Lepisosteus oculatus: one gene and its partners. The protein of the gene in region 3 purifies or fractionates together with the protein of the main gene of each other region. This does not show direct contact. Links are inferred from orthologs where the notes say so. Each region holds a gene or a part of one and is shown on either strand. Other genes may lie near its edges.

The links.
Region 1: the proteins of prpf4 (region 3) and zgpat purify together in Homo sapiens (affinity purification with mass spectrometry; 4 studies listed by BioGRID and IntAct, counting the BioPlex papers as one, with this or other methods). This does not show direct contact. The link is inferred for Lepisosteus oculatus from reciprocal best matches to the Homo sapiens genes PRPF4 and ZGPAT.
Region 2: the proteins of prpf4 (region 3) and serine/threonine-protein kinase PRP4 homolog purify together in Homo sapiens (affinity purification with mass spectrometry; 3 studies listed by BioGRID and IntAct, with this or other methods). This does not show direct contact. The link is inferred for Lepisosteus oculatus from reciprocal best matches to the Homo sapiens genes PRPF4 and PRP4K.
Region 4: the proteins of prpf4 (region 3) and cd2bp2 purify together in Homo sapiens (affinity purification with mass spectrometry; 3 studies listed by BioGRID and IntAct, with this or other methods). This does not show direct contact. The link is inferred for Lepisosteus oculatus from reciprocal best matches to the Homo sapiens genes PRPF4 and CD2BP2.

The regions. Positions count from the first base shown.
Region 1 is NC_090711.1:13,476,168-13,483,619, reverse strand, and holds the start of zgpat (zinc finger CCCH-type with G patch domain-containing protein), read right to left. Parts: upstream 3,021-7,452; 5' UTR 2,913-3,020; intron 2,153-2,912; exon of another isoform or gene 2,055-2,152; intron 1,828-2,054; 5' UTR 1,791-1,827; coding exon 1,159-1,790; intron 412-1,158; coding exon 278-411; intron 1-277. Other genes in the region: arfrp1 (ADP-ribosylation factor-related protein 1), read left to right, coding at 3,165-3,262, 5,270-5,363, 5,559-5,646, 5,764-5,846, 6,994-7,075. UniProt on the Homo sapiens protein: Transcription repressor that specifically binds the 5'-GGAG[GA]A[GA]A-3' consensus sequence. Represses transcription by recruiting the chromatin multiprotein complex NuRD to target promoters.
Region 2 is NC_090701.1:15,686,114-15,693,972, reverse strand, and holds the start of serine/threonine-protein kinase PRP4 homolog, read right to left. Parts: upstream 3,004-7,859; 5' UTR 2,953-3,003; coding exon 2,894-2,952; intron 1-2,893. Other genes in the region: oocyte zinc finger protein XlCOF6, read left to right, coding at 6,439-6,936. UniProt on the Homo sapiens protein: Serine/threonine kinase involved in spliceosomal assembly as well as mitosis and signaling regulation. Connects chromatin mediated regulation of transcription and pre-mRNA splicing.
Region 3 is NC_090719.1:267,765-275,134, reverse strand, and holds the start of prpf4 (U4/U6 small nuclear ribonucleoprotein Prp4), read right to left. Parts: upstream 3,021-7,370; 5' UTR 2,937-3,020; intron 2,880-2,936; exon of another isoform or gene 2,736-2,879; intron 1,954-2,735; exon of another isoform or gene 1,859-1,953; 5' UTR 1,834-1,858; coding exon 1,671-1,833; intron 1,480-1,670; coding exon 1,293-1,479; intron 1,179-1,292; coding exon 1,091-1,178; intron 995-1,090; coding exon 915-994; intron 307-914; coding exon 213-306; intron 1-212. Other genes in the region: anaphase-promoting complex subunit CDC26, read left to right, coding at 4,822-4,902, 5,194-5,379. UniProt on the Homo sapiens protein: Plays a role in pre-mRNA splicing as component of the U4/U6-U5 tri-snRNP complex that is involved in spliceosome assembly, and as component of the precatalytic spliceosome (spliceosome B complex).
Region 4 is NC_090699.1:1,139,930-1,147,036, forward strand, and holds the start of cd2bp2 (CD2 antigen cytoplasmic tail-binding protein 2), read right to left. Parts: upstream 3,003-7,107; 5' UTR 2,894-3,002; intron 2,146-2,893; 5' UTR 2,145-2,145; coding exon 2,070-2,144; intron 1,711-2,069; coding exon 1,590-1,710; intron 1,508-1,589; coding exon 1,350-1,507; intron 1-1,349. UniProt on the Homo sapiens protein: Involved in pre-mRNA splicing as component of the U5 snRNP complex that is involved in spliceosome assembly.

The DNA of each region.
Region 1 (7,452 bases), on a different chromosome or scaffold from region 3:
GGCCACACGGGGAAAAGACTTAGATTTGTGGACAATCCACCAAACCCTGAGAGCCCTTCAAAGAAGGCTTTGGTGAGATTAGGCCGTTGCATGCTGCTGTTAGATGCCAACACTGCTCAATATTGCTGTGTTGTCTCATTTTTTGAAATTGTTACCTGAATGTATGTTTCAGAATGGCTGGACAAACAATGATGAGTGCAAGCTGGCCAGTCCACTGTGCGGACGACTTCATGAGTACCTCACGTGCGTTCAGGGCCTATGAGCGATCACCACAAACCTGTAATTTTGGCCGGGTACCAGATGCCATCCTCATGCCTGGCTAAACAGGCTGAGCCCTCCTGGAGTGAGCTGAGGTCCGATTCCTGGAAAGGCCGCAGCTCGGACACCAACACCACTTCTCCGTGGGAGAACCTGAAGGAGGCGAAAAGGACGAACTCGGGGAGAGATTCACGACAGTGTGGGAACGGACGGGAATGCTCGGTATCGCGGGCACTCCAATTCCGATTCGATCCGGAGCGCCGGCTCAGAGCAGCCGAATCACAACGGCTTTGCTCCATTTATAAACAACGGTTCTGTCTAAAGGCACGGCAATCACAGGGGTCAGCGTGCAGCTTTAACCCCAACTTCAATCCACGTCAGTGGTTGCCGGTTCAAATCCCGCGGCCGGCAGAGGAACCCTATTCCGTTGGGCCCCTGAGCAAGGCCCTTAACCCCAACGGCTCCAGGGGTGCCGTATAAGTGGCTGACCCTGCGCTCTAACCCCAAGCTTCTCTCCCTGTCTGTGGGTCTCATGGAGAGCAAGTTGGGGTATGTGAAAAGACAAATTCCTAGTGCAAGAAATTGTATATGGCCAATAAAGCGATCTTATCTCCGAGTGAACATGCTTCATTATTTTAGGATATGTTTCTTTTTGTCTGTGTTACATAGCAGCCAAGAAGCTATAAAGAATCCAGTGTGTTATAAAGAAGGAGGTGCTGTGTATTTTTTAATTTGAATTCTTTGGAATAAATCACAGAAAGGTATGCAAGAGCTAAAACAACTGCAATGCATTCCATCATATTTTCAGCTTCAGGGGTACAATGGTTGTGCGAGTCTGCCTCTGAACCCATCCAGAGGGGAACAGATGCAGTTTCCCAGTGGCAATCTGCAGCTCCTCACCTGCAGCTGTCCATGAAGCGACACTTGTCCTCCAGGAAGAAGGGGCAGGGCTTCATGGACTTCTGGGTCGGGTGGACATACAGAACCCGGACCTGCGGGTCATCATCTTCCGAGTCCTCTGTGCCCACCACCATGGCGTTGTGGTACTCCAGCGTTCCCCAGGAGGTGCGGTAAGGGGCACAGACCTTCATGCCACTCATCACATCCTCCTCCTCCTCCTCCTCTTCCTCTTCCTCAGCTGCCTGCTGAGATCCGGGGCTGCCGGATCCTCCTCCAGATCTCTGGGCCGCAGGGGCGCTCTCGCTGGTGGAAGGCTCGGCGCAGGACGGCTCGCTCACCGCCGCGTAAAACGCAGCGAACTCGTCCCGCATGCCGGGGTCCCCCGCCGGCGGCTGCCCCGCGGGGGGCTCCGCCGGCCAGGCCGACGAGCCCTCCAGGCTGGCCAGCAGCCGGCTCTTCTTCACGGACACCAGGCTGGCCTCGGTGAGCTCGATCAGCTGGAGCAGGTCCTCCTTCAGCTGCAGGAGGTCGGACTGCTGGGAGGGCTCCAGCCCGGCGCCCAGGGCCGTCTCCACCTGCTGGAGCTGGGCATGGTAAGTCTCGATGGCCGCCTCCAAGCTACCTTCGTCCATCACGACCGGGGGGACAGGCCGGCATTCAGGAATCGGTCTGGCGAGGAAGAGGAGAGGTCAAACGCTTTAACCTGGAGATGTGTTTCTCCCTCCTCCAACTGTTTCTCCTGTTCAAACTACGGAAAACCGTGATTATCCCTGCACTTTGAGGCACCCTGCACACAGCAGGCGAGCATTCGTCTTAATACAGTCATGCGGAAAAGCTTGAGTCAGTATGTTCAAAGTAGAGGAAATCCAATCACTTGCTGCCTCTCCCATAAATACCTTTATGAGATTGCTTCTTCTCCTTTGTCTCAAACTGACCAAGCTTTCCCGAAGCTGATATTTCCAAATCCCTTGGGCAATCTACTCCGGGATGCAAGCTGGAAGAATGAGAAATCCGACAATTTAGCCTTCAGCGCAAGAATAAAGCAATAAAATTTTCCGAATAAATTAACACGGAGATGAGACCTGTCACGCATCCCAGAGACGAAACGATCGATTTCACATCTTAAGTTGCAGGTTTCTGATGTCAACATTTCACAGACGTCCGTATGAACCTCTGTTTAAACTAGGTAAAAAATTGGGTACTAAAACTAGCGTATTTGTCTCTGAAAATGCTTTAACACTGAGATAAGCAATCCATGCAATAAGTGCTATTTATTGCTACTTTAAAGCAATTGCTTTGATTTTAAAAGTATTTTGCTAGTTTTAATTAAGGCGCCGTTCAAAAATGTGTAATTGTAAAGCAATATCTTTAGTAATTTAATTACACATACGAAAAATAACATTTATAACATCTATAACATGTAACGGAGACAAATATTAAACCAGAAATTATTTCTTAAAATACTGTTTACTTTTAATCGTTTATTCACGAAGAACTAAATGATACATACAAAGAGAGCCTTAAAAACACAGATTTGTTACTTATACCAAAACTATGTTTATCTCTTGCGTTTGATGCCTTTAAATATATTTACGGTAACTACTGATCAGGATGTATAATCGCAAAATATATAAACTGGAATACAAAAATAAAAAAAATTGTTGCTCAGTTGCTAACTGTTGCTAACAATCTTCCATACAGAAATCCTGCATTACTGATAGGTATGTAGTATAAGAAAAGCAATGTAACCTTACATTTACCGGTTCTGATATTGCAGTCACCATTTAAATGACAATTTGATATCCTTCCATTTTTGAGAGGAAGTTATTAGAGTATATTTGTGAATTGTGGGTATTGTAGTGTATTTGGACCACATCTACAGTTTTAGAAGCACCAGTGAAAACGTAAATTCCCAGTAACCACTGCAAACTACACGCCGGCCTTTTCCTTTCCAATGGTATCCTGGGATTTGTAGTTTTCAAGCTCAGGACATCCGTTCAGCAGCCATGGGGGTGAAACCAACAAAAAACATCAATTCCTACAGTGCATTGCCAGTCGGTAAGCACTTCCTATTTACGGATGATGACTTGGTCGCAAATGAAAGGTAAGTTCAAGGAAATGTGTTATAAGAGCAGTTTTCAAATGCATGTATGGTTATTTTAACATCTAAGGATGGTAACAAAAAAGGAAAAGAGCGACGGATTAGAGAAATTATTATTTTACAGGGATGTTGATTCAGAGTTAATAGTTATAGCCTGTGGTTTGTACTGCTGCAAACCAGTTGGTTTTGTTTGTTTTATAATGTAATTGAGCTCATTATTTTGACAGTACTGTATACAAGGATTTTAGTCCTAAGTAAAATTAGATGGAATACCAGTCATCTCTAACAGCGCACTTTTAAATACATCCACCCCAATACAAAAGAACTAGCATTTACAATTATATTAACCTGAGAGTGTGTAAGCTATTCGCCTTTGTACGGTTTTATAAAGTGAAATCTATCATCTCAATTCCATCTCAGCTGGATTATTAAGACCTTAAACAGCAAGTAAAGTGCGGGCGATCCCAGACACAAAGGTAAACATTAGCCGAGATATAATCAGAAGCACGGAACTAACGTCACGATTCTTCTCATTTCGCCCGTTTGGTAACTAGAAGCTATTGATCCTGGGTTCTCATCCAGTCGTTCCCTGATGAGGCCGGAGTATACATTATAATATTTATTATAGTTATAACGTAATAGTTATAATAATAATAACATTATCAACTCTATAAAATAATACATATAATGGCCCTTCCATAAAGTGTATCCTGTTCTCAGTTTTAAAAGTTCTCCAATCTAGTTTCCTCTTGTAACTTCTGGGTTGTCTTTCTCTGTTTATTGTGAAGAAATACACTGGGCTGACACTGCCAATGTCTTTGAGGATTTTGAAGGCTGAAATCAGGTCCCCCTCATTGTCATCTGCCTTTGAGACTAAAAAGGTTCAGCACTTTGTCCCGAAAATGTAGGGCATCCTTTTAATGTGAATGAACCTGGTTGCTCTTTTTTCTAGAACATTTTCAGAAGCGCACTAGACTTCTAGTCACATGGTGACCATCATGCAGTGTTCTAAGTGAGGTCTTACTTGTGCATTGCATAGTTTTGACATATCATCCCTCGATTTAAATCCTGAAATTTTAATAATTTCCCCCTCATATTCTGTTGACCTTTTTATTGCTTGCCCACTGTAACTGGAGATACAAATGTCAACAAACACTTTCTCTTTAGCTTTTTCAAGTCCGTTGTTCCTCACTTTGTATCTATACTGCATTTTTACTTTCGGCATGTAATAATATGCACTTGTCTAGATTAAACATCATAGGACAGGATGTTTCCGAGTTGAGCATTTTATCAGAATCTTCCTGTTTTGTGTTTTCATCTTCAATTTGGTTTGGTAATCCTCCTATTTTGAAATAATCTTCAGACTTTGGTACTAACTGTGCCGGAATCTAGATCATTGTTATAAATTAGACCCCAGCGCTTTGAGGCTGCAGTGGTAACCACTGTGAGTCCATGTCACCATTTCTTCATTTCTTCATTTGTTGTGTTTTCTTTCTTCTCTTTTCAGCATGGAATAAACTTTTTACTTGTTCCTTTGCAGCCTACGCATGCTGATGCAGCTGCCCACCTGAACTTTCTTCAAAGAATACCATATTATGACTTGATTGTTTGGAAAGACTAGTTCAACACATGTCTCCCATCCTGTTTGTGCTCTGTGTAAGAAGGCTGTCATTAGCCACACTTACCAAGTTACTTTCTGCTAGCTAGCAAACTTGGTTTTGTGCTTTTTGGGGGAAAAAAGGTAAATTTCTCACTACAATAAATCCTATCTCGCACATGATTTCTTATCCAAAAAGGACTTCTTCACCTACCTTGTGGATCTATCTACACCTACCTGTCTATGTATTAACTGGCTCGTTTCTCTACATCTTTACTCTGCATTGATTTAAAGTATCAAGCAATGCGTATGATCTTGCTCAAATATCAAGCATCTGTTAATGTGTATTTTTAAAGTCCAAATGGGCATTTTAAATGATCTTTGTTTTGTTTTTTTTGGTTGTTGTTTTCCAGGATGTACACCTTATTATCGGGTCTGTACAAATACATGTTCCAGAAGGATGAATATTGCATTCTGATCCTCGGCTTAGACAATGCAGGGAAAACTGTAAGTTGTTTTAGTGAATTTAGTGAATGCCTTTTAGACCTATGGACAGTATGATTTATGGGCAATATAAAATCCTGCATGTGATTCTCTTATTGTACACTTGCAAATGCATTATATATATATGTGTGTGTGTATTATTAGACAGTGAGATTTTGCCAACTGAGTGATTTCATCCGTTTCCATTTATTGCTATAGACATTTCTGGAGCAGACCAAGACTAAATTCAGCAAGAATTATAAGGGCATGAGTTTGTCCAAGATCACCACCACTGTGGGCTTGAACAGTAAGTTTTGATCCTCTTTGTATGAAATACATTGTACAGTATATTTATATATCTAGACAGTACAGCCAATGTTTTAAAATCAGACTGATCTGTGTGTCCTTCCCTTTTCCTGATCAGTTGGCACAATAGATGTGGGCAAGGCGCGCCTCATGTTCTGGGACCTGGGAGGTCAAGACGAGCTGCAGTCACTGTGGGACAAAGTAAGGCAAGGCAGTGGGGTTGCCTGAACTGGTCTAACTGCCTCATCCAATTCAGGGTTGCTGGGGGGCCATGGGCGAGATACGTCCTGAATGGGATGCCAGTCCATCACAGGGCACGTAGAGACACACACTCACACTGGGGCCAGTTTACCTACCAGCATCTCTTTGAGCTGTGGGAGGAGATGGAAGCACCCAGAGGAAACCCACGCAAACACAGGAGACCATACAACCCCCACACAGACAGCACCCCAGGCCCGGAATTAAAACCCAGGGCACCAGCGTTATGAGACAGCAATGCCAACCACTGCACTGCCATGCGGCCCTGGCTATAATATATAGTATAGCTAAAATCTGCAACTGAATAGCTCATATTGTGATTCACAGAATCTTCTTCCTAAATATTTATCAGTTGCTTTGCAATGTGAGGCATGAAGCACTGCTGTTCACAATTGTGGTAGGCTATCCCATGGAGACACCTGCAGTGACCATTAAGACCACTAGAGGTCACTGAAGGGTTATCAGTGGTATTAAATGTTATTTAAAACTTTTTTAGTTTTTGTTTTATTAGGGTGTGTTATATATAATTCCTGAGCCCAATTACAACCGTCATTTATTTTGCACACCTCCCAGAGCCTTGCTACCAAAAGGAAGCTGTCATAGGACCTATATATAAGAACATATGGAACCATTTGATGCTTCATTATAACAACAGTAATGGGTAACTTGTTGAAAAAAATACTTCCATACTTTGTACTGAATGGACATCCTTTCAGTATCCACTTTTCCAACTTGATTATTTGAGTTAATAACCTGAAAGATTTTAAATGCATGAATCAAGTGTCCTCATAATTTCATTTTTTCAAGACCAGTGTAACATTACTTTAAAACCAGGAACTAACCTGGTTACTCTTTCCTGGGAAAACTCCCTAGAAGCAATGTCTTTTGGTAATGTGGAACACAAACTTGTACACCATGTGCCAGATGTGGCCTTACTGACGCGTCTTGCAGTCTTTTCCCACTGTGTACTGAGGCAAAAATTAATCCCTGTTCAACACTGAGACATATTGCAAGAAAGGGAAAGGGGGAGAAAGGTGTTCATGCAGACTCTGCTCAGGGTTGATTCAGATCTGTTTCCCTCCTGGTGCAGTATTACGCTGAATCCCATGGGGTGATATACGTGATCGACTCCACTGATGAAGAGCGGCTGTCTGAATCGAAGAATGCCTTTGGTGAGTACAGCAGGGAGCCTTTGTCCTTACGTCTGCTAGTCAGGTACTGTATCTAGGAATGGTGCTGTTTTATAGAGAGAGAAGTGTTTTCACAAAGGCTGGATTACCATGGCTGCACCACAGAAGAGATGCTGGAAAAGTATTTCAGAGCACAGTGTATATTACAGTCTCCAGACTGTGACCCCCAGCCCCAGTATTCCAGCTCCACTCCAGAGCTGAGACCCCCAGCTCCACTATTCCAGCTCTACTCCAGAGCTGAGACCCCCTGCCCCAGTATTCCAGCTCCTCTCCAGACTGTGACCCCCAGCTCCACTCCAGAGCTGAGACCCCCAGCTCCACTATTCCAGCTCCTCTCCAGACTGTGGCCCCCAGCTCCA
Region 2 (7,859 bases), on a different chromosome or scaffold from region 3:
TAGTTAATTCACTCGGAAGCCCCTGAGCCATTTTTGTTTCTTATTGCGAAAAGCAGAACCAGAGTTTGGATTGAGGCTGCCCTGCCAGCCATGTGGGTTACTTATGTGGCAAGGCAAATACACCCTTGATGACCTTTAAATAAAGCTCAACCTAGTAATGACAGACCTTGTGTGTTATCGCCTGGGCAATCAATCCCAGACCGGACTTCTAATTTATAAAGGCAAATGGGGGAAGATGAAAAAATTCACCAATGGGATTCGTTTCTGAATTTGTTTCAAGAAAAGGTAGACAATTTAAATGAATGTGCGACACAATATCAATCCTGGTTTTTGCTACAAACACTCTCTATTAAAATACGTTTAATAAACGTGACAACAGAACCAGAGGAATGCGGGTGTCTATTGCTAGCTAGGGACAAATGTCTTTTTTGCAACCTCCATGTTCCTAAATTGTTCCTGCTCTGAAGAGCGTCATTTCATTTTCAGACCATGTTCATCTGCTAGTGCACATAGTTGCAGACTTGAATACTGGCTAATAAAGTCAATTAAAACAGTGGGTGAACATTTTCTACATCATCTAGATGGGGCTACACATTGGTGGTGGTGGAGAGTCCCCATTACCTGTAAGCACTTTGGGTGGAGTGTCCAGAAAAGTGCTACATAAGTGCAAGGAATTGTTTTTATTAACAAAACGAGCATTAGTACCCAACCTAAAAACACCACCTCACAGATTCTACACTAGAGATTTCACTATTAAAGAAAACTATCACTTCATCGCATGACTGTTTAATAAACATACATAAGATAGTCAGGATAGTCAATTAAAATAGTGATTACACTTACTACAAATGGAGGGCACCAATAATTTTTGTGACCACAGAAAGACTGCACAATATACTATATACAATTACTATGTTACAGTCATCCTTTTTCACAGCACTAGATCTACACAGATCAGTCCCTCCAGAATATAGCAACTAATAAATGTCATCATACTCATTTGTGTGTGTATTTAGTGTAACTCCACAAGTACGTTAAGCAAAATACTAGAACACAACTGGATAATACAATTTGTGGCTTTGATATAATTACCAGACCAACTTAAAAAAGCCCCAAGTTCAAATTGTCCACAAGTTTCAGGAGGAACTAGTGTCTTGAGAATGTCTGTGCATGTCTTCAGCTTATACCATGAAATGTATAATCATACATTACGCCTATTTCAGAATATTGTCATTTTTGAGTCACGAAATCTGGGTGGCTCTTTTTAAAGTTAAGCGATTTCGAGATCACGTTCATTTCTTAAAATTAACCAACCATAAAGCAGGTTTTGCAGGATTTGGAAATACTGTTGTTACATGCTTTGTTGGTCTTGAACCAGAAACGTGCATTTACAAATGTATTCCTATCAATTTTTATTGAACGATTTACTTATTTACATTACAGTCTTACCATGATAAAAAAAAGAATTAACCAAACAGATAGTATATAAGGTCACTTCACGTGAAAGACGCGTGAAAAGAGCGCACTTTTCCTTAGTATTTTTCTAAACCTGCCCAACTGAATTACTAGAGGATTTTGGAAACTAAGATCGCTCCTTTTCAGTGGTCAGACTGAGGTTCGGGGTGCAAATTATTGCTTTATTAAAACCTTAATTTAACAGTTTCAATTGTTAAAAACCTAACACCTCACACTTTGTCAAAACACCAGCGGTGAGGAATAATCAAACTTTCAGATTTGCGCCTGGTGAAAGAACATTCCCAGATCGCCTTTGTCATCAATTCACAATCGAAATGATCTTTACTGAAACCCATTTAGTTCTGTTTTGCATAAATCGGTCCAGGTTTCTGCAAAGAAGAGCGGGGCCATTGATCTGCAGATACGAACTGAGGCAAGAAAACCGTCTGCAAGACACCTGGATAAGGTTTTGACGTTTTTTTTTCAAAATCGAAACCCATAGCTAAGGTTAGCAAGTGACGATCTAACTCCCGAAAAGTTTTTTTGGTTAGGTTCAGGCAATAGAAGTATCCCCAATCTGGAAGAACCGACCAGTTTGCGGCTTGATTCGCTTTACGGGCGTTAATAAACAATCGCTGGATTATTAAATAAATCGTTAAAAACCCGAGATGTTACTGATATGGCTTGATAATACAAGAAGCTCCGGGATGCTTTAAGCGTAAACACCAAATCCATGATTTTCGGAAGTTGTGATCATCTACGTTAAAACGGCCTACAGGACGGCAAAAACAAAACACGCTCTCTAGTACCAAAAAAAACGTGGAGAGGACCGAAGTGTAGGCCCCGATTTTTTTTTCTGCTTTTGAAAAAAAAAACACAGATCGCGTCGGCGTGCAAGACGTGAGCAATCATTTGCCCGAAACAAAAATAAAGGCTGAATCCAGCTGCAGGGCGCGAAGCCACTTTGTCGGATGGAGGCACGATGTGCTCTGTTGTTTGTTCAGCACAGCAACACGGTTACTAACACAGCAGCGAGAACAGACACCCGCTGGGTGGCGGATCAACTATCCGGCCTCAGTTTTCTAAGCAAGTTCTCGCCGTTGGAGCTCGTCCGTGTGGCAGATGGCCGTTCCCACGCTTTACGGAAGATCCCGATTTCCGAAAAGCGAATGCGTGTCGATTTCCCCTATCACACAAAGTCAAAGTTAGCTGTTTTCAACCGGGAACACTGAACTATCCCCCCCACCACGTTTCCCCATCTCGCACGCACTTACGAAACGCAAAACTAAGAAGCAACAACACGTCTGTGAACACCACTGCTTCACGTATACATAGAAAAAAAAACCTTTACCACCGTCACCATCCTACCAAAACCCCGGCATTTAGCATTTCGTCCTCTTTTAGCGTACAAAACTAGAATATTATGGTTATTTCTTACTCTAGCTCTTTGCCACTGTCCAAGCTCTTTCCGTCCACCTCCGTCTCCATGTCGGCCATTTTCACCAGCGAGTGCGGCGACTGCGTCTGCGCACTCCGCGCACCAGCTACAGCAAGGGAGCGTCGCGGTATTACCACCTCAACGTGAGTCACCCTCTAAAAGGGTGCATTTAACCTTCGCAGCTCGAGTAGGGACACCCCGTTTCACGAAGTCCTTCGCAATATGCCCACCATTCAAATACTAAGTTAAAGTTTTATAATTATATGGAAGTTAAAATAAAAAGAGCAGGGTGCCACTGTGTGACCCGAGGGGTCTGATCATCTTGAAAACTTGCAGGCGTCGGAAACGGGACTCCAAACTTATACAAACCGCAGCTGGACTTCAGCTGAAAAGTTGCCTTTTCGTGACCCAGTGTAGAGTCTTAAGAGGACAGGAGGGGTCCCTAGCTCTATAGTCTAAGATCGAGTTGCGTTAAAGATATATTAGCAATAATGTAACATTATTAGTACTGTAATAATACATACATATAATAATGTAGTTTTCGTCACTGTAAGTACGAACATGTTCTCAATTTACTCAACTGGTTAAAAGAATTGTAAAAAATATTTAGAATACACGTGGATATTTGTGGTTTAACTTAACCACAACGTAAACATAAGATGGGTTTATATAAACCTGAAGTATTCAGAAAACAACGGCATAATGAATTAATTGTTCTCACTGAGACACACCATAAAACACCTAAACCACACATTTTCTAACATTTCCAAAACAATCACAATACTCATCGTCGTCAATTCCTCTACGTGCCGTTCTAGTTATGAACATTTTTAAATGAGCCCTGAGGTTGAACCAGGAGCCCGCATAAAAACTACGGTACTTCCTGGAAGTAATCAAGAATAATAATAGTAATATGGACTTAAATTGGTGTGGAAGTGGGAGTGTAGGTCTCCCTTTATATCTCTGGAAGATATAAAATAAAAGTAAATAAGATTATTGAAACAAGCATGGCTGTGGAGCACTAGTGATTTTGGAGTCTGAACATAAGGTAAGGAAATATAAGTGGAAAAAACAAACGATGAAATAATATCTCAGATTTAGTTATGCCATAGGGTGAGAATGCCACGTGATCGCAACTAAATTAGTGTATTATGTTTAAAAAGTTTTAGATTTCGTACTGCCATTACAGCTAGAATAGTACTCCGTGAACACACGCAGATATATGTGCTTCCAAGACACTGCGGATCAGTTTACACACAGTTCTTGTACACAAAATGCTTTGCAGCACATTATCATTTATGTTAAAAAGGTGTACTTCGTGTGTTGAATAAAGAATTTACGGTTAGTGAAAATATGTTTTGAGTACTGTATGCACATCCTTTCAATTACTGTATCTTGTCACCTGCACGGCGACGAAAGAACGATCTAAAGTATCTCTTTGCATGGGGAAGAAAAAGTAGCATTCATAATAGATATTAGGAATTTGATCCATGTGATATTTTTGAAGTGAAGTTTTAAGAAAGTCTTAAAACCTATATTATTTTATATTATCGAGCCCAGGTTACCTAGAACAGCTATCATTTAAGGAAATGAGATTACTGTCTTTTAATGCTGTTACATATAACATTCTATAATACTTCAAATCGTTTAGCATGTCATAATGAAAAATCCCTTATGTTTATACGAAAAATAGTAAAACGGGGTGGGACACTGTTATTTTCTTTTGATACAGTTAAATGGCCCCTCAAAATCGGTGTAATCAGTCTGTCAATTTTGCTTTGCAAGTGCATCTTGGTCCATCCCAGGCATAGTATTCGGTGGATGTTTTCTCCTTTGTTTCAGTATAGTTTTAGAAAAAAAAACACTTTAGCATAATAATGTCCACTTAATTATGGTGGTAGTGCAGTTTAGATGATTACTTAGATATTTTTTTTAATTGATGAATTGGAAAAAGTGGTACTTGGCCTGTGGTCATATTTCATGTTGCTATCAGAGATATTTAATAATAATAATAATAATAATAATAATTGCTTATACTTATATAGCGCTTTTCTGGACACTCCACTCAAAGCGCTTTACAGGTAATGGGGGCACCCCTCCACCACCACCAATGTGCAGCATCCACCTGGATGATGCGACGGCAGCCATTGTGCGCCAGAACGCTCACCACACATCAGCTATTAGTGGGGAGGAGAGCAGAGTAATGTACCCAATTCACAGAGGAGGATTATTAAGAGGCCATGATTGGTAAGGGCCAATGGGAAATTTGGCCAGGATACCGGGGTTACACCCCTACTCTTTTCGAGAAACGCCCTGGGATTTTTAATGACCACAGAGAGTCAGGACCTCGGTTTTACGTCTCATCCGAAGGACGGCGCCTGTTTACAGTATAGTGTCCCTATCACTATCCTGGGGCATTAGGACCCACATGGACCGCAGGGTGAGCGCCACCTGCTGGCCTCACTAACACCTCTTCCAGCAGCAACCATAGTTTTTCCCAGGAGGTCTTTCCCAGGTACTGACCAGGCTCACACCCGCTTAGCTTCAGTGGGTTGCCAGTTGTGAGTTGCAGGATGATATGGCTGCTGGCCACCCTGTGATTTAAAAATATCTGAACAAGTTAAAGAAAATATGATTATGATTTTTCTATTTGCACACTGAAATGACGCATTACCATTCCAGTTTTTCGGTGTCTGTAATGTGCTGCTCATGTACTGATAGAGTTCCATAGGTGTGGTCACTTAACTGGTCCTCTTCACTTGCCTCAAGAGGTGAGTTTTGATTTAATCTGTACAAAGTTTGATGGGGAGGCCAAGGACAGGAGAAATGAAATTGGAGAAGCAGAACTATAAACACAATAGACCTGCTCAGTCGGGGCGGTGCGGTGGCTCTGTGGCTAAGGATCTGCGCCTGTGGCTGGAAGGTTGCCGGTTCGTATCCTGCGGCCGACAGAGGAATCCTACTCCGTTGGGCCCCTGAACAAGGCCCTTAACCCCAACTGCTCCAGGGGTTATAAATGGCTGACCCTGCGCTCTGACCCCAAGCTTCTCTCCCTGTCTGTGTGTCTCATGGAGAGCAAGTTGGGGTCTGTGAAAAGACAATTTCCTAATACAAGAAATTGTATATGGCCAATAAAGTGATCTTATCTTATCTCAGTAAAGTGGTATCTTTGAATAAATCTCCTTCCGAAACCATTTTGGTTTTCTCATTTATTTTTCATACCTTGAGACAATTTCTTCAGTGGTGCCGTTGCAAATGATGTATAAAAGTATGCCTTGACAATAGCAGAAGCTGTTGAGGTCGTGTCTCACGGACACTCAGCTCACTAGGTAGCTCACACAATAGGCAGTTAAGATTAAAGAGCATTAATTTGTCAATTCAATGTTATGAAAGCAAAAAGGAATATTAAGGCAAATGAGAAGACCTATGTAATGGAGTCAAGATTTTCTGTGGGGAGAGAGTATTCCAGTGTCCTTGAAGGAAATATATTTGAATGCCTTTTTTTGTGCACGCATGCAGTTGTCCTTCCCTGTTGCTGACTGAGGATGAGCCAGCTGAAGTATGCATACCAGGATATTCAGCCAGTGGCCCTGTGCATTCCTGAGGAGACCACCACTTCCAGGTTGTACTCCAGCACGGTAGAGGGGGTGGAAGGGCAGGTTTCCAGTCTGGTGGAGATGTTCCTCGTGGAGGTCTACCGGTGTCGAGTCTGCCAGTTCACCAGCAGCCTGAAGAGCAAGATCAGTTCCCATGTGATCGAGCGCCACGAGCTGGGCAGGACATGCCTCCCAATAAACTGCCTCGAGAAAGACGAAGGGGATCGGCCGGTGGAAGAGGAGGAGATGGGTCGGGGCTCCCCCTACTGTGTGGAGGATGAACTGCAGTCTGATAGCAAGGAGAGTGAAGACAACATGGATGTGAGCCTGGAGCGGATGTCCTTCCTGCTGCCCATGTATGGGATGTTGCACAATGTTAGCCCTCAGTCATGTGACATGGGTCTCAGTACCAACAGTGATGGCCTCCATGTGGCACACAACTGTGAGGTGAGTCCAAAGTCTGGGTAGAATATTCACCCATAGCAATAATACACACCTGGTGTCTAGCAGTTTGTTCATCTTCTGCCTAGATGACCTACAAGATCTTGTTATACCGCTGTAGCAGAAGTTTGTCTGTCCAGGTTTATTCAAATTAGTTGGACAAGTATGAAGTATTCAATACCTAGATCTGGCTTGTCTAGGTATTGAAGGCATTTGCTCACAAATTCTGAAATTAATCAAACTACTTTTCATTTTAATTAGATTTCAGCTTTTCTGTCTGTAGTTTAGCCAATCTAATCTTAGCTTTGACTCAGTGGTCAATACCGAAGCAAAAATGTAGAACTATATTTTTTTGTCTTCATTTTGGCTATGGAAAAGCCTTTCTGCCACAAGCACAGTGTATCACCAATCTCCAAGGTCATAGAGTACCCTCAGGAAAGCAATTAAAGTAGGAGAGAGTGATTTATTTTTTATCTTAGAAGTGACGCTTAGTGCGCTGCCAATTTCAGCCTTAATTACTGAAATGACGAAGAAACGCATAAGGATATAAAACATTACTCAAACTCAAAAAAGTTCTAGCTGAAGTTTGACAGAAGAATGAATCATAACATTGCAGCCAATATAAATTTTGCTTTCATTATTCAGGGTGAATGGGAGGAAACTCATCGCTATATATTATAGACAGAATGCCAAAAACTGCATTGTTCCTACCACTATTAGCAGTATAGGTGTTTCATGAGTAGATTTTACAGTGGGTGACCTCATACTGCATCTTATAGAGTAAGTTTTATTGTTTTTTTTAAAGAATTGACATTTTTTAAGGTGTGGCCCCAGAATTTCTACCCAGTACAAGCACTTTAGGAATACTTCCTGAGTTTCTGATGCCTGGTTATGCCCAAGGCATACACTTCACCAGCCTCTGATGATTT
Region 3 (7,370 bases):
AGCATGCCAACAAATCGAGTTTTTGAGTTTGATTGTTCAAGTATTAAATCTTTACTAAAGGAAAATCAAACAAAATCAGGAAACTCAAAAAAATCTTTTGTACCCCCCCCTCCCCCAACACAAAATCACAAACCAGAATCGCAAAGCTACATCCTCCAAAAAACGTGAACCTGCCACCCTCAGCTCCCGCCTGGCTTCCAGGCCCCACCCACCCGCAGTGACTTGTGGAGCTCCTGCTGCCGCGCGGTCCGGGTGGATTCTGGGATCTCCTTCTGGTCCCGTGCTGCCTCCAGCCGCTGCATTGTCCTGGGAACACAGAGCACACAGCGGGGTGACCCTGCCACCAGCCACGCCAGAGACTCGCCAGCCATGACACTGCGACCACAGGACCACCGCTAACTGGTCAGGGGCTGTACAATACAAAGTACTCCTGCCGGACAGACCACTGCCCCTCAATCACTGCCACTGACAAACTGAGACAGTCAGGAATCACTTCAACAGGCTGATAAAAGATGCTGGACTGCAGCCATGCAGTTCCAGAGGCTGACGGTGCTGCTACTCCGAGACAGAGAGGGGCTACACGGTCGGGGGCGATATGAATTCTTTTATGTCTCCACAGCTGAGCTTCCAGTGCGCTTCCAATCAAAGCCTCCGACAGCAATCAGCAGTGTTATATTAACAGCAGCCAGCCCAACCTGAGACACCCAGACAGGCTGCACTACATGTACAATCAGCACATCCTGCAACAATGCGCACAACAGTTCTCACGAGAAGATATAAAACAAGAGTTTTCTAGATGAAAAGTATTTAGTGTGCAGGTTAAGTATAACACAACCTGCTACTCTCTCATGCTGCAGTGCATCTAGAAGCAGGATTAGATGCCACTGAGGAGTGTAAACACCCTAGTTTCTCACCTGGGTAGGGAGTATCGGGCCAACCACAGACGGGCCTCCTTCAGACTGCCTGGGCCCTCATGGTACCAGGTCTGCTGGAACTGAGAACATGAGAGACAGAGAGGGAGGTTATTCAGACTAAAGAGCAGAGAGTGAAAAGAATAAAAGAATCCTGTCCTGCCCAGCTGCTCCTGTACCTCGTCCTGCGACCGCTTGGATTTGTCGTCCTCCTTCTTGGACTTCTTCAGAGCGTCAGTTCCCACCACCGACAGGATGTTCCGCAGCCTGGAGGAGAGAGGAGGCTTCAGCTCAGCCGTGATCTCTGGGGCTACGCTCCCCGCAGACTGGCACCACCGTCACTGCGCCCCCCTCGGCTGACCTCTGCCCTGCTGCACCCACCTCTCCCGGCGCTCGGCGGGCCCCTCCCCGAACAGCGTGATGGGCTCCCCCAGGGCGCGCAGGCAGGCCTTCACCTCCGCGTCATCAGTGGAGACGTTGATCTGCCGAGCACGCTTCCTGCGCTCAAACTCTGCCAGGACTTCTGCCTGACGTTCATTCACCCGCTCCTCCAGCTCCATAGACTCGCCTGAACACAGACAGGGCACCGTTCAGCGCCGGGCACACAGGCGGGGCCCCGCTCGGGGCGCTGGCACACAGGCGGGGCCCCGCTCGGGGCGCTGGCACAGACAGCCGACAGCGTCAGTGACACGCGGTAGCTACAGGCCCCGGCCCAGTGGGGGCTGTGCTGTGTGCTGTAGGCCTGAACTGCGCACTGACCGCTGCAGATGTTGATGTTGCCGGCCTCGATGCCGGCCTTCAGGGCCTCCCTGCTGGCGCCGCGCGCATCGCCCCGGCCCAGGCGCTCGCGCTCGCGCTCCTCCAGGCTGCCATAGAAGATGCGCGACTTCTTCACCGCGGGCACGTCCTCCTCGTCCGACATCGTGCTCGAGCCACTGGACCGCTTACTGGACACAGGGAGAAGGAAGAGAGTCGAGAGCACGTCTCCCCAAACTCCTGGACAGCACCCTCCGCACGGCACACAGCGGGGTCCGGATCACAGCTACACAAACACACAGACGCACAAACACACTTTCACCCAGGACAGGCGAGAAGGGTCCCCAGGCCGGAGGTGTCCTCTGTGTGAACACTGAGAACAGGGCACTGGGAGTCAGCAGGTCTGTGGTCACCTGTAACATCGCTGTCGACCCAAGAGTCATGAAATACCTTTCACATGAGACTTATCAGGACAAAATACTGACCTGTAACATCACATCACATTTTCTGTCCACTATTAACAAATGAGAGGATGTAAAGCAGCAAAATGAACGGGTTTTGTGCTGTTATAGGTGTTTAGGGTGACAGTGGCCGCGTAAACTCACAGGTCCACAGGTCCTGTAGCAAGGGTGTGTAAGGACTATGCACAGCATGAGTCGATGCGTTTAATATAACGTTGTTTATTTTGAGTATAGTTGATTTGTACTGTTAATGTATTTTTTAAGTGCGTGTAAAACATAACTGCTTGGATTTAAATCAAGTTTCTAAGAAATCAGAAAGTCTTATAGTTAACTATGTTAAACGGCAGTGGGAGCCAGACTGCAAACAAGGCAGCAAAGGTTAATAACTGTCGGCCCAGAGACATCAAGACCGATCGCATTAGTTTTCACGTTCAGCCAAATTAAACGTTGAATTCCTTAAGAAATGTAATAAAAGTAAGTCTACTTTCCCATAGAATCACAAACAGGCAGCGCAACGAGGAAACAGGACGAATTCAAATATTTCTACGCAACTCTGAGGATATCACGAAGAGAGGAGAAGCTACTTGAAGAAAAGTCACATCATTACTGTGTCCAGGAGCGGTGTTTCCGAACAGCAGTGCGACAGATATCAGCGCTGAGACGGAGCAGCAGATCTGAGGACTTAAACACGTGTGCAACCCTGCAGACCTGACCCCAGCTCTGCTCCAGGAACCGTGGACCCCACACACACTGCGGAAACTGCCAATTAATCGCTTCTATTATGAAAATGTATTGAAGTTACAAATACCTGAACTCCTAGACGAAACCACCGCGATGCTGGCGAGAGGAAGCGAGTATTGCACGAGCGCTCTCCAGTGGCAGGCGGACAAACCGATACCGGAGCCGGAAATTGCGTCACTGGTTGTAGTAGCAACCCATTCCGGACGGACAGCGCGTTCTGTCGGCCGGGAGGCCTAATAGACTTAAGGAATGTATTTCAAAACATATTTTTCCAACTAAATGTAAAATTCACCCATCGGTTAGTCTCACATATATTACAGAAGATATATCTATCACTTGAGATGGTGCATTGTTCTGACACATCATGTGCCCCAATATGAACCGCTAACTCATGAAACAAGGGGCTCACTGTAGTCCTATCTGGGAGATGTAGTTCATTGTACAAAGGAAGCAATCTGGATTAAGTCTCATTAGACTACAAATCCCATCTACAGGGGGTGCGCTTCCTTTTGTGGTTCACCGTTCATTTCAGCGGGGTCTATATACAATATAGGAGGTATGTGGGGTTTAGGACTACTTTACGTCCATTATTTACTGTATGTTTGCAATAAGAAGAAGTCCCAATTCCTGTAAATGTGTTTATTCCGTGCCTGGCGGCCTGTGAAGGAACACTTGTAATTTGAAGTTTCGAAACTTGGTTGACTGTTGCTGTTGTCCTCCAGACCTGCTTCTGCAGCCGGGCCGCTGGCAGCCTCTTCACCGCACGAATGACGACGCCCGGCTGCCTTTCTCATTTTGTCTTTATTTTGTTTTCAGCAGCAACGCCGGTTCGTCCGGGACGAGTGAGCGCAGGCTGGTCGGTCCGCGGAGAGCGCCGTGCGAGAGCTAGGTACCTCGGTTTGAGCTGCCTCGTCAGATATTCCCACCTGTAGCAAAGTATTATCTCAGTTAATGAATGTTACGAACACTTGGTTTTATTATATTTAGAGGCTAAGATTAATGCAAGTGCTGCCCCTTATAGGCACCGATGTTTATACGTTAGCGAGGCAGTATGCAGGATAGGCCGGCTAATTACTGAGTTCTGAACAGCACAGTTTGATAACTGTTAAAATCCTACCCTAGGTATAATATATTCTGAAATTATTAAAGGATTAATAAAGTAGTTTTGAAAGCAATAAAGTGCATTAAAGTAATAAGATAAGATCACTTTATTGGCCATATACAATTTCTTGCATCAGGAATTTGTCTTTTTGCATACCACAGCTTGCTCTCCATGAGACACACAGACAGGGAGAGAAGCTGGGGGTCAGAGCGCAGGGTCAGCCATTTATACGGCGCCCCTGGAGCAGCTGGGGCCTTGCTCCAGGGGCCTTGCTCAGGGGCCCAATGAAGTAGGATTCCTCTGCGGGCCGCTGGATACGAACCGGCAACCTCCCAGCCACAGGCGCAGATCCACCGCTCCGCACCTCAGGAACACAGTAGTACAGCAGACAACCAGACAATCTGTACGTGTATTAGCTACACGAGAAAGGCGTGCATGGCCCTCAGCTGTTGCATTATAAAAAAATCATGTCGAGGAAACATTCTGCAAGTGCCACCTAAAAAGTAGTGTGTTGCATTCTTTTATCATAAAATATATGGGAGTCTGAAAAACCTGTCTGATGTGACAGATGGACAGTAGATAAAACTTCCTGTTTCCTGTTTCCCAGAGTTTGGGAGAAAAAAGTTTTATTCTGTGAGCTTTGCCCCTTGACGGAGGACCCGTCCAAGCGTTACAGCAGCTGTCAGTTCAGTTCTCGCCGAACCGCGAGACCCGAGTGGTACTGGTGGTACCGGCTTGCGCGGTGTTGCTAGTTGCTAAGTGGAAGTCTCCCTGCCGCCCCTGTGTCCAGGACCCGGTTCCCGTGCTGCCGGAGGTGGGGTCCAGTCCCCGGAGCTGCCACACGGCCGCCATGCTGCGGAGGAAACCCACTCGCATCGAGCTGAAGCTGGACGACATCGAGGAGTTCGACAGCGTGAAGAAGGAGCTAGAGGTAGGAGAGCCGCTGGAGGAGCCTGCTGTGCTAACACTCCCGGAACCTGAGGACGTGGGGATATAACGTTAAGGGCAAGAACAGGCCCTCCGAGATGTGTTTTCCTGTGAGTGGTTCTGTCACTGTACGTGCCTGATTATTCAAGACCCCAGCCTCTCGGCCCGGGCAGGCCGAGCACGCAGGGCTGCAGCGAAGCTCGAGGCTCTGGCAGGCTCCCTGGGGCGGAGGCGGCGGATGGCGCTACTGTATTTGAATGAATTGACAGAGCCTGTTTGCCCTCCTCGCCCACAGAGCCGCAAGAAGCAGCGGGAGGAGGTGGATGTGGTGGGCGTGGCCAGCACCGGGGACATGGGCGGGGCTACGGCTGGGGGTGCCGAAGGCAAGACCAGGGAGCAGATGATCAATGAGCGAATTGGGTACAAACCACACCCCAAACCCAACACCCTGCCCTCCCTCTTTGGAAATCTGCAGTTCTAGGGGCTCCTGGGACACTGCTGTGGTGCAAGTGGACTGGCTACACACAGACCATCTTTCAGACTGTTCCATCACCAGCTCCAGCAGGGGGGGAAGGCATTTGTAGCCAAACTGTTTTTAATGCTTCCATAGCTGGACTGTTTTTTCTGGGAGTGTCTCTTGGTGCTGGATGCTGGTGTACTGACAGCTGAACCTTGGCTAACAAAGCCACCAGAGTAAAGTGAAAGAACTGGGGGTGGCACAGTGAGAGAAAGGGGCATCTCAGTGGGGAGCTGGGTCCTGGCTCCAGGGCACTCCATGCGGAGGACTGTACCACCGCTGGCCTCTAGAGGGCGCCAGGATGCAGCCACCAGTGTTCTGAGATTAAAATGCACTGGAAAATATTGCCGATACCTTTCTAGGAGCACTCAGTTTTTATGGATTTGAATGGAACTGACATTTAACAACAATTTTCTTTCTGAAACAACAAAAAACTTTAACAAGCTTCAGTGAAAGAATGATAAAAGTTTAATATCACCAGATGGCAGTGAAACAAGAGAATGTCTCCCTCGCCCAGGCTCAGGGTAAAAAACAACAAGGCTGTGGAAGCAGTGTCTGTGTAGACTGTGGTTATATGCAGTGTTTTATTTTTTAATCGTACAAATAAAACCATCAACATGTCGTGACCCTGTTCTTGTCAGGCAGCTCAGTCTTTTGGCCTCACAGCTGTGTGCTCAGAGGCTCTCATGCAGGGCTCAGTAACTCACAGGAAACGGCTCGGGTCAGCTTTCTCGTACCATTTATTGATCAGTTACCTTCTGATTGGTTACAACAGTACAAGTAGATATGAGCACATACTGTAGATGATTGCTGGCAGGCTGATGAGCCGGGACTGCGGTTCACCGAACTGGTTCTGATCCCAGAGCTGGAACCCGGACTGTCACTGCACAGCAGCTGGAGCCTTGCGAGGTGCTTATCGGATCACACGGGTGGAGCAAAGAACACGTCGCCTGCTCATTCCTGCCCACATAGAGTCACTCGGAGCAGTGTACTTTGTACTTTTAAATGTCCTGTTTCTTGTGTGCTGGATTACATACAAGAGCCAGCAGTTGCTGAACTGTGCAGTGGGAATCCAGATTCCTGCTCTGTATTGCCCCCAGAACTGGTACAATCCACACCTTGGTAACACACATCATATCGAGGCTTTTGGTACAATAAAAATTAACGGCACATGGCAATTAAAAAAAAATTAAAAATAAAGTGACACATGAATCTTAAGTTCATCTGCACAATATGACAGACACCTTGCCTGCTGGTCCTCTAGAGTTAAGCCTGGAGAGTGTTGCTCAAACCCCAGACTTGCAGGCCCCCCTGCCTGCCAGGCCAGAGCAGAGTATAGGGCTAAAGGTTGAACAGCTCCAGCCTCAGCACTTCACTCTGATGCCTTTAGAAGCAGCTGCCTGTCTCTGGGGCAGCTGCAGTTAACGGCTTGATTTTGAAACTCCTGGACTGAGTGTCCTCTGAGGCTGAAAGTTTGAATCTGTAGAGACAGAGTGTAGCTCTGTTGACACTAACTAGTGACCCAGAATGCCAGAACTGTCGGCCCCCTGCTGGTCCAAACGTCTTGGCGAGTCTGGTCTCCCTGGAAGCAACACAACTCACTCATCCTGGATTGTCGCCACAGCAAGGCTGCTCTGGGTTTAAATTTAAATTAGGCCACAGTGCAGTAACATTTGGAGGGACGGCAACTCTGATTAATACACGTTACTTCATGTACTGCAGTTAATATGCTTCTGCAGCCCAGTGGCCATGGAGGGGTTCAGAGACGGTTCCTGATGGAGACGTCGACAGGCACTCCGTGCTACAGTAAAAGTTCATGTAACTAGAAACTCACCCTGGAGTAGCTCAGGCTTGGGTTGGGAGTCTGACTGGCTACTGTGCAGCCTGGGCTGTTCTGCACCTGCTGGCCTGCTGAGTGTGAAGTGTTAAAAGGAAACGAGAACACTTAGCAGTAA
Region 4 (7,107 bases), on a different chromosome or scaffold from region 3:
CCAGATTCTCTCTCGTGTACGTACGGTGTACTAGAGGAGTTTCACCCTCATTGGAATACAAGCCCACTCCTTCACCTGCAGAAGACCCCGCCCCTGAACGCCCACACGAGACCCCGCCCATCACGCCCACACGAGACCCCGCCCCTCACACCCACACGAGACCCCGCCCCTCACACCCACACGAGACCCCGCCCCTCACGCCCACACGAGACCCCGCCCCTCACGCCCACACCTACAGACCCCGCCCCTCACACCCACACCTACCGAGCCCGTCCCTCCGCCCCCTCTCACCTGCAGAAGACACACACTCACACCAGAAGACGCACCCCCCAGTACCACCCAGGTCCAGTGTGACCTGGTCTACAGTCTGACCTGCTATAATCCAGTTTTAAGATCTGGCCCAGTTGTGGTGTGACCCAGTGCTATAGTCTGGCCTGGTTCCAGTGTGACCCAGTGCTACGGCCTGGCCCAGCTGTGGTGTGACCCAGTGCTACGGCCTGGCCTGGTTCCAGTGTGACCCAGTGCTATAGTCTGGCCTGGTTCCAGTGTGACCCAGTGCTACTGCCTGGCCCAGCTGTGGTGTGACCCAGTGCTACGGCCTGGCCCGGTTGTGGTGTGACCCAGTGCTATAGTCTGGCCTGGTTCCAGTGTGACCCAGTGCTACTGCCTGGCCCAGCTGTGGTGTGACCCAGTGCTACGGCCTGGCCTGGTTCCAGTGTGACCCAGTGCTATAGTCTGGCCTGGTTCCAGTGTGACCCAGTGCTACTGCCTGGCCCAGCTGTGGTGTGACCCAGTGCTACGGCCTGGCCCAGTTGTGGTGTGACCCAGTGCTATAGTCTGGCCTGGTTCCAGTGTGACCCAGTGCTACGGCCTGGCCCAGCTGTGGTGTGACCCAGTGCTACGGCCTGGCCTGGTTCCAGTGTGACCCAGTGCTATAGTCTGGCCTGGTTCCAGTGTGACCCAGTGCTACTGCCTGGCCCAGCTGTGGTGTGACCCAGTGCTACGGCCTGGCCCGGTTGTGGTGTGACCCAGTGCTATAGTCTGGCCTGGTTCCAGTGTGACCCAGTGCTACTGCCTGGCCCAGCTGTGGTGTGACCCAGTGCTACGGCCTGGCCTGGTTCCAGTGTGACCCAGTGCTATAGTCTGGCCTGGTTCCAGTGTGACCCAGTGCTACTGCCTGGCCCAGCTGTGGTGTGACCCAGTGCTACGGCCTGGCCCAGTTGTGGTGTGACCCAGTGCTATAGTCTGGCCTGGTTCCAGTGTGACCCAGTGCTACGGCCTGGCCCGGTTGTGGTGTGACCCAGTGCTACGGTCTGGCCCGGCTGTGGTGTGACCAGCTCCAGTCTCACCCAGTCGATGTTGTCCAGCCAGTTGTCTCGAATCTGCTGCTCCTTGTTGAGGAAGTAGTTTCCCTCCGAATCAAAGTGTCCCTCCTGCATTTCCTCTTCCAGGTTAAAGGGCGTGATGCGCACCCCCTCGTCAAAGTCCAGGGTCGCCGATTCCTGGCCTGCACAGGGGAGACAGCGGGGGAGTGAGAGAGCAGACAGAGTGAGCCGCACTCACACGGCGACGACAGAGTGAGACAGTACCCTCCACATCGTCACTGGCCAGCATGTCATACTTCTGTCCCTCTTCCTCTTCCTCCTCATCACTGTCCAGGGAATGTTTACCCTTGAACCTGGAGCCAGGGCCACTGACATTGTCACACACCTGCAGCAGGGAGAGAGAGAATCACACACACTGTTACACCCGCAGAAAGAGAGACAAAAACTGTCACACACCCGCAGAAAGAGAGAGACACACAGTTACACACCCGCGCAGAGAGAGAGACACACAGTCACACACCCGCAGAGAGAGAGAGACACACAGACACACACCCGCAGAGAGAGAGAGACACACAGTCACACACCCGCAGAGAGAGACAAACACACAGACACACACCCGCAGAGAGAGCGAGAAACTGTCACACTCAGTACTGTGTTCACATACAGTCTCATACCCTCCAGACAGGGTCTCTACTCAGGACTGTATTAACCATATGGTATTTCTGCTGAGAAAGAGTACTGAACCTTCTTATTTGGAGGGTCATTCTCCAGACTGTACTCTCCATTCTCATCCTCAAACATCACCCTGCGCTTCGACATCCTGAGGGAGACAGAGGAATAAGGCAGAGAGGGGTTAATACAGACACACTGACTGGACACTCCAGTACATTAACACTGCACTGAGAGAGAGAGGGGTTCATACACACACACTGACTGGACACTCCAGTACATTAACACTGCACTGAGAGAGAGAGGGGTTAATACAGACACACTTACTGGACACTCCAGTACATGAACACTGCACTGAGAGAGAGAGGGGTTAATACACACACACTGACTGGACACTCCAGTACATTAACACTGCACTGAGAGAGAGGGGTTAATACACACACACTGACTGGACACTCCAGTACATTAACACTGCACTGAGAGAGAGGGGTTCATACAGACACACTGACTGGACACTCCAGTACATTAACACTGCACTGAGAGAGAGAGGGGTTCATACAGACACACTGACTGGACACTCCAGTACATTAACACTGCACTGGGAGAGAAAGAGGGGTTAATACAGACGCACTGACTGATTTAACGATTCAATAACATGATTAACCACAGAATAACAATCTGAATGTAATCCCAACAGACAAGTGTACTTTGAAGTGACAGTAGGTCTCTTTAATTTCTGAATCTCTCCAGTATTTACTGGAGATGATCACACAGCTCCAACAGTATTACTATCCAGAGTTACTTTCACAGCACCAAACAGAAAAAAACATGAGGACAGACCCAATGAGAATTCCGTACGATTGTGCTTATCATTAGTACTGATATGTAATATTATTTACCTTTATTTTACAGCTGTGCTCACGACGTGAATTATTACAGCGCCACAATGCGCAAACAAGAGGAAGTGACGTAGATAAACAGCGCCGCCGAGGGAGGAAGTAACCTCCTTCCTTTGAGAAGAACGGGAACAGTCGCAGATTATTGACGTCATGTCGATCCGGCCGTGCCAGACCTTTGTAAAAGATATATCTAATAAGTATAATTTTTAGTTTTTACAACTGTGGATTCCTCTGGCTTTGAAGTGTCTATTTCTGTATATATTTCATTATTCTGTCTCATTTTTTGTATTTCTGGTGTTTAAATAAAATATTTTAAAATATTTTACAAACATATGTCAAACTCACAAAATTTAGCTCTTATCATAACAGTGACGTTTTCGCCTCAGACTCGAGGCACGACGCGGCCCGCTCAAGAGAGATTACCAGTAACCCCAGTAAAAAAGACTCATTGGTGCTCATCGATCTGGGAAAAGATACAGATCTTACAGCATCGTGTCTGAGCCCCGATCCACAGTCTTTTTTGTATTTAAACAACAAAAGGAAATACAGTATAAACAAGAGTTCGTAAAACATATCGATAACATCGTTTAAACAGAGTAAATAGAGATAAGGTCCGCACCGCTTTCATGTTTTCACATTTCGAAACAGTCTACAAATACGCCCTCACATCTATGTTCAGACACAGGACTCTTCCTGAGTAGAATAACGTCCCGGTATAATAATCGTCAATTACAAAATATATTTTCGTTTAGTTCCAATGGGATTGAAGTTCAACATCACGTCTGTTTCCTTAAATATGATTAATATTCGCCTCTTTTTTATATAAGTTTGCAAATCAGTCCAGAAGGTTTTTACAATAGAGAGATTAGACGAGATGAGTTATTGATCCCGAAGGGAAACTGAGGCGTTACAGCAGCCCAGCCCAAGACGAGCAAGAACAGACATCGGACTAGACGGAAAATTAAAACAAGTACAGCAATACAAAATCAAATAAATAGAGTAAGCAAAATATGCTCATAGTCACTGTCAAACAATAAAAGATGTGCAAAATGTGCATGGGTATATGCCGGGAGGAAGGACCTGCGGAAACGTTCCCTTGAACACCGCAGCTGGAGCAGTGTGTCACTCAAAGTGCTCCGCTGCCTCATCACAGTCATAGCCACGAGCAAACAGGACAGAACCAAAATACATTTCTGGCTTCTGCCTTCCCATTCCCACAATCCTGCTGAGGAGAGAAGAGAGAAAACACAGCGTTTCGGCTGCAGGGTCTTCTCCAGGTGTGTCCTGAAGAGTGTGTCCTGCACTCCCAGGGAAGACTCCACAACCTGACTGTACCCCTGACTGTACCTCCAACTGTACCCCAGTCTGTACCCCTGACTATACCCCAGTCTGTACCCCACACTGTACCCCAGACTGTACCCCAGACTGTACCCCTGACTGTACCTCAGACTGTACCCCAGTCTGTACCCCTGACTGTACCTCAGACTGTATTCCAGACTGTACCCCACACTGAACCTCAGTCTGTACCCCTGACTGTACCTCAGACTGTACCCCAGTCTGTACCCCAGACTGTACCCCAGACTGCACTGCTTCATTACAGACTATAACTCAGACTGAACCCCAGACTGTACCCCAGATTGTACCACTGACTGCTCGAAGGAAGGCGTTGTATTGGGGCGGGATGGTGTGGTGGCTCTGGAGCTCAAGATCTGTGCCTGTGGCTGGGGGTTACTGGTTCGAATCCTGCGGCCGCAGAGGAATCCTACTCCATTGGGCCCGTGAGCCAGGGCCTGACCCCCAGCTGCTCTCCCTGTGTGTGTGTGTGTGTCTCCTGGAGGGCAGGCTGGGATCTGTGACAAGACAGACTCCTCACACGAGAGACTGTAGATGGCCCCCTGACTGTACAGTGTCCCTCAATTCTAATATTAACAATAATAATACAGTGTGTGATTTCCTGTCACAGCCTGAGGAACAGACAGTGAGCCTGTCTCTCAATAATAATAATACAGTGTGTGATCTCCTGTCCCAGCCTGTGGAACAGTGAGCCTGTCTCTCAATAATAATAATAATACAGTGTGTGATCTCCTGTCCCAGCCTGAGGAACAGACAGTGAGCCTGTCTCTCAATAATAATAATACAGCGTGTGATCTCCTGTCCCTGCCCGAGGAACAGACAGTGAGCCTGTCTCTCAATAATAATAATACAGTGTGTGATCTCCTGTCCCAGCCTGAGGAACAGACAGTGAGCCTGTCTCTCAATAATAATAATACAGTGTGTGATCTCCTGTCCCAGCCTGAGGAACAGACAGTGAGCCTGTCTCTCAGTAATAATAATACAGTGTGTGATCTCCTGTCCCAGCCTGAGGAACAGACAGTGAGCCCGTCTCTCAATAATAATAATACAGTGTGTGATCTCCTGTCCCAGCCTGAGGAACAGACAGTGAGCCTGTCTCTCAATAATAATAACACAGTGTGTGATCTCCTGTCCCAGCCTGAGGAACAGACAGTGAGCCTGTCTCTCAATAATAATAATACAGCGTGTGATCTCCTGTCCCTGCCCGAAGAACAGACAGTGAGCCTGTCTCTCAGTAATAATAATACAGTGTGTGATCTCCTGTCCCAGCCTGAGGAACAGACAGTGAGCCTGTCTCTCAATAATAATACAGTGTGTGATCTCCTGTCCCAGCCTGAGTAACAGACAGTGAGCCTGTCTCTCAATAATAATAATACAGTGTGTGATCTCCTGTCCCAGCCTGAGGAACAGACAGTGAGCCCGTCTCTCAGTAATAATAATACAGTGTGTGATCTCCTGTCCCAGCCTGAGGAACAGACAGTGAGCCTGTCTCTCAATAATAATACAGTGTGTGATCTCCTGTCCCAGCCTGAGTAACAGACAGTGAGCCTGTCTCTCAATAATAATACAGTGTGTGATCTCCTGTCCCAGCCTGAGGAACAGACAGTGAGCCCGTCTCTCAATAATAATAATACAGTGTGTGATCTCCTGTCCCAGCCTGAGGAACAGACAGTGAGCCCGTCTCTCAATAATAATAATACAGTGTGTGATCTCCTGTCCCAGCCTGAGGAACAGACAGTGAGCCTGTCGTGTGATCTCCTGTCCCAGCCTGAGGAACAGACAGTGAGCCTGTCTCTCAATAATAATAATACAGTGTGTGATCTCCTGTCCCAGCCTGAGGAACAGACAGTGAGCCTGTCTCTCAATAATAATAATACAGTGTGTGATCTCCTGTCCCAGCCTGAGGAACAGACAGTGAGCCCGTCTCTCAGTAATAATAATACAGTGTGTGATCTCCTGTCCCAGCCTGAGGAACAGACAGTGAGCCTGTCTCTCAATAATAATACAGTGTGTGATCTCCTGTCCCAGCCTGAGGAACAGACAGTGAGCCTGTCTCTCAATAATAATAATACAGTGTGTGATCTCCTGTCCCAGCCTGAGGAACAGACAGTGAGCCTGTCTCTCAATAATAATAATACAGTGTGTGATCTCCTGTCCCAGCCTGAGGAACAGACAGTGAGCCTGTCTCTCAATAATAATAACACAGTGTGTGATCTCCTGTCCCAGCCTGAGGAACAGACAGTGAGCCTGTCTCTCAATAATAATAACACAGTGTGTGATCTCCTGTCCCAGCCTGAGGAACAGACAGTGAGCCCGTCTCTCAGTAATAATAATACAGTGTGTGATCTCCTGTCCCAGCCTGAGGAACAGACAGTGAGCCTGTCTCTCAATAATAATAATACAGTGTGTGATCTCCTGTCCCAGCCTGAGGAACAGACAGTGAGCCTGTCTCTCAGTAATAATAATACAGTGTGTGATCTCCTGTCCCAGCCTGAGGAACAGACAGTGAGCCCGTCTCTCAATAATAATAATACAGTGTGTGATCTCCTGTCCCAGCCTGAGGAACAGACAGTGAGCCTGTCTCTCAATAATAATAACACAGTGTGTGATCTCCTGTCCCAGCCTGAGGAACAGACAGTGAGCCTGTCTCTCAATAATAATAATACAGCGTGTGATCTCCTGTCCCTGCCCGAAGAACAGACAGTGAGCCTGTCTCTCAGTAATAATAATACAGTGTGTGATCTCCTGTCCCAGCCTGAGGAACAGACAGTGAGCCTGTCTCTCAATAATAATACAGTGTGTGATCTCCTGTCCCAGCCTGAGTAACAGACAGTGAGCCTGTCTCTCAATAATAATAATAC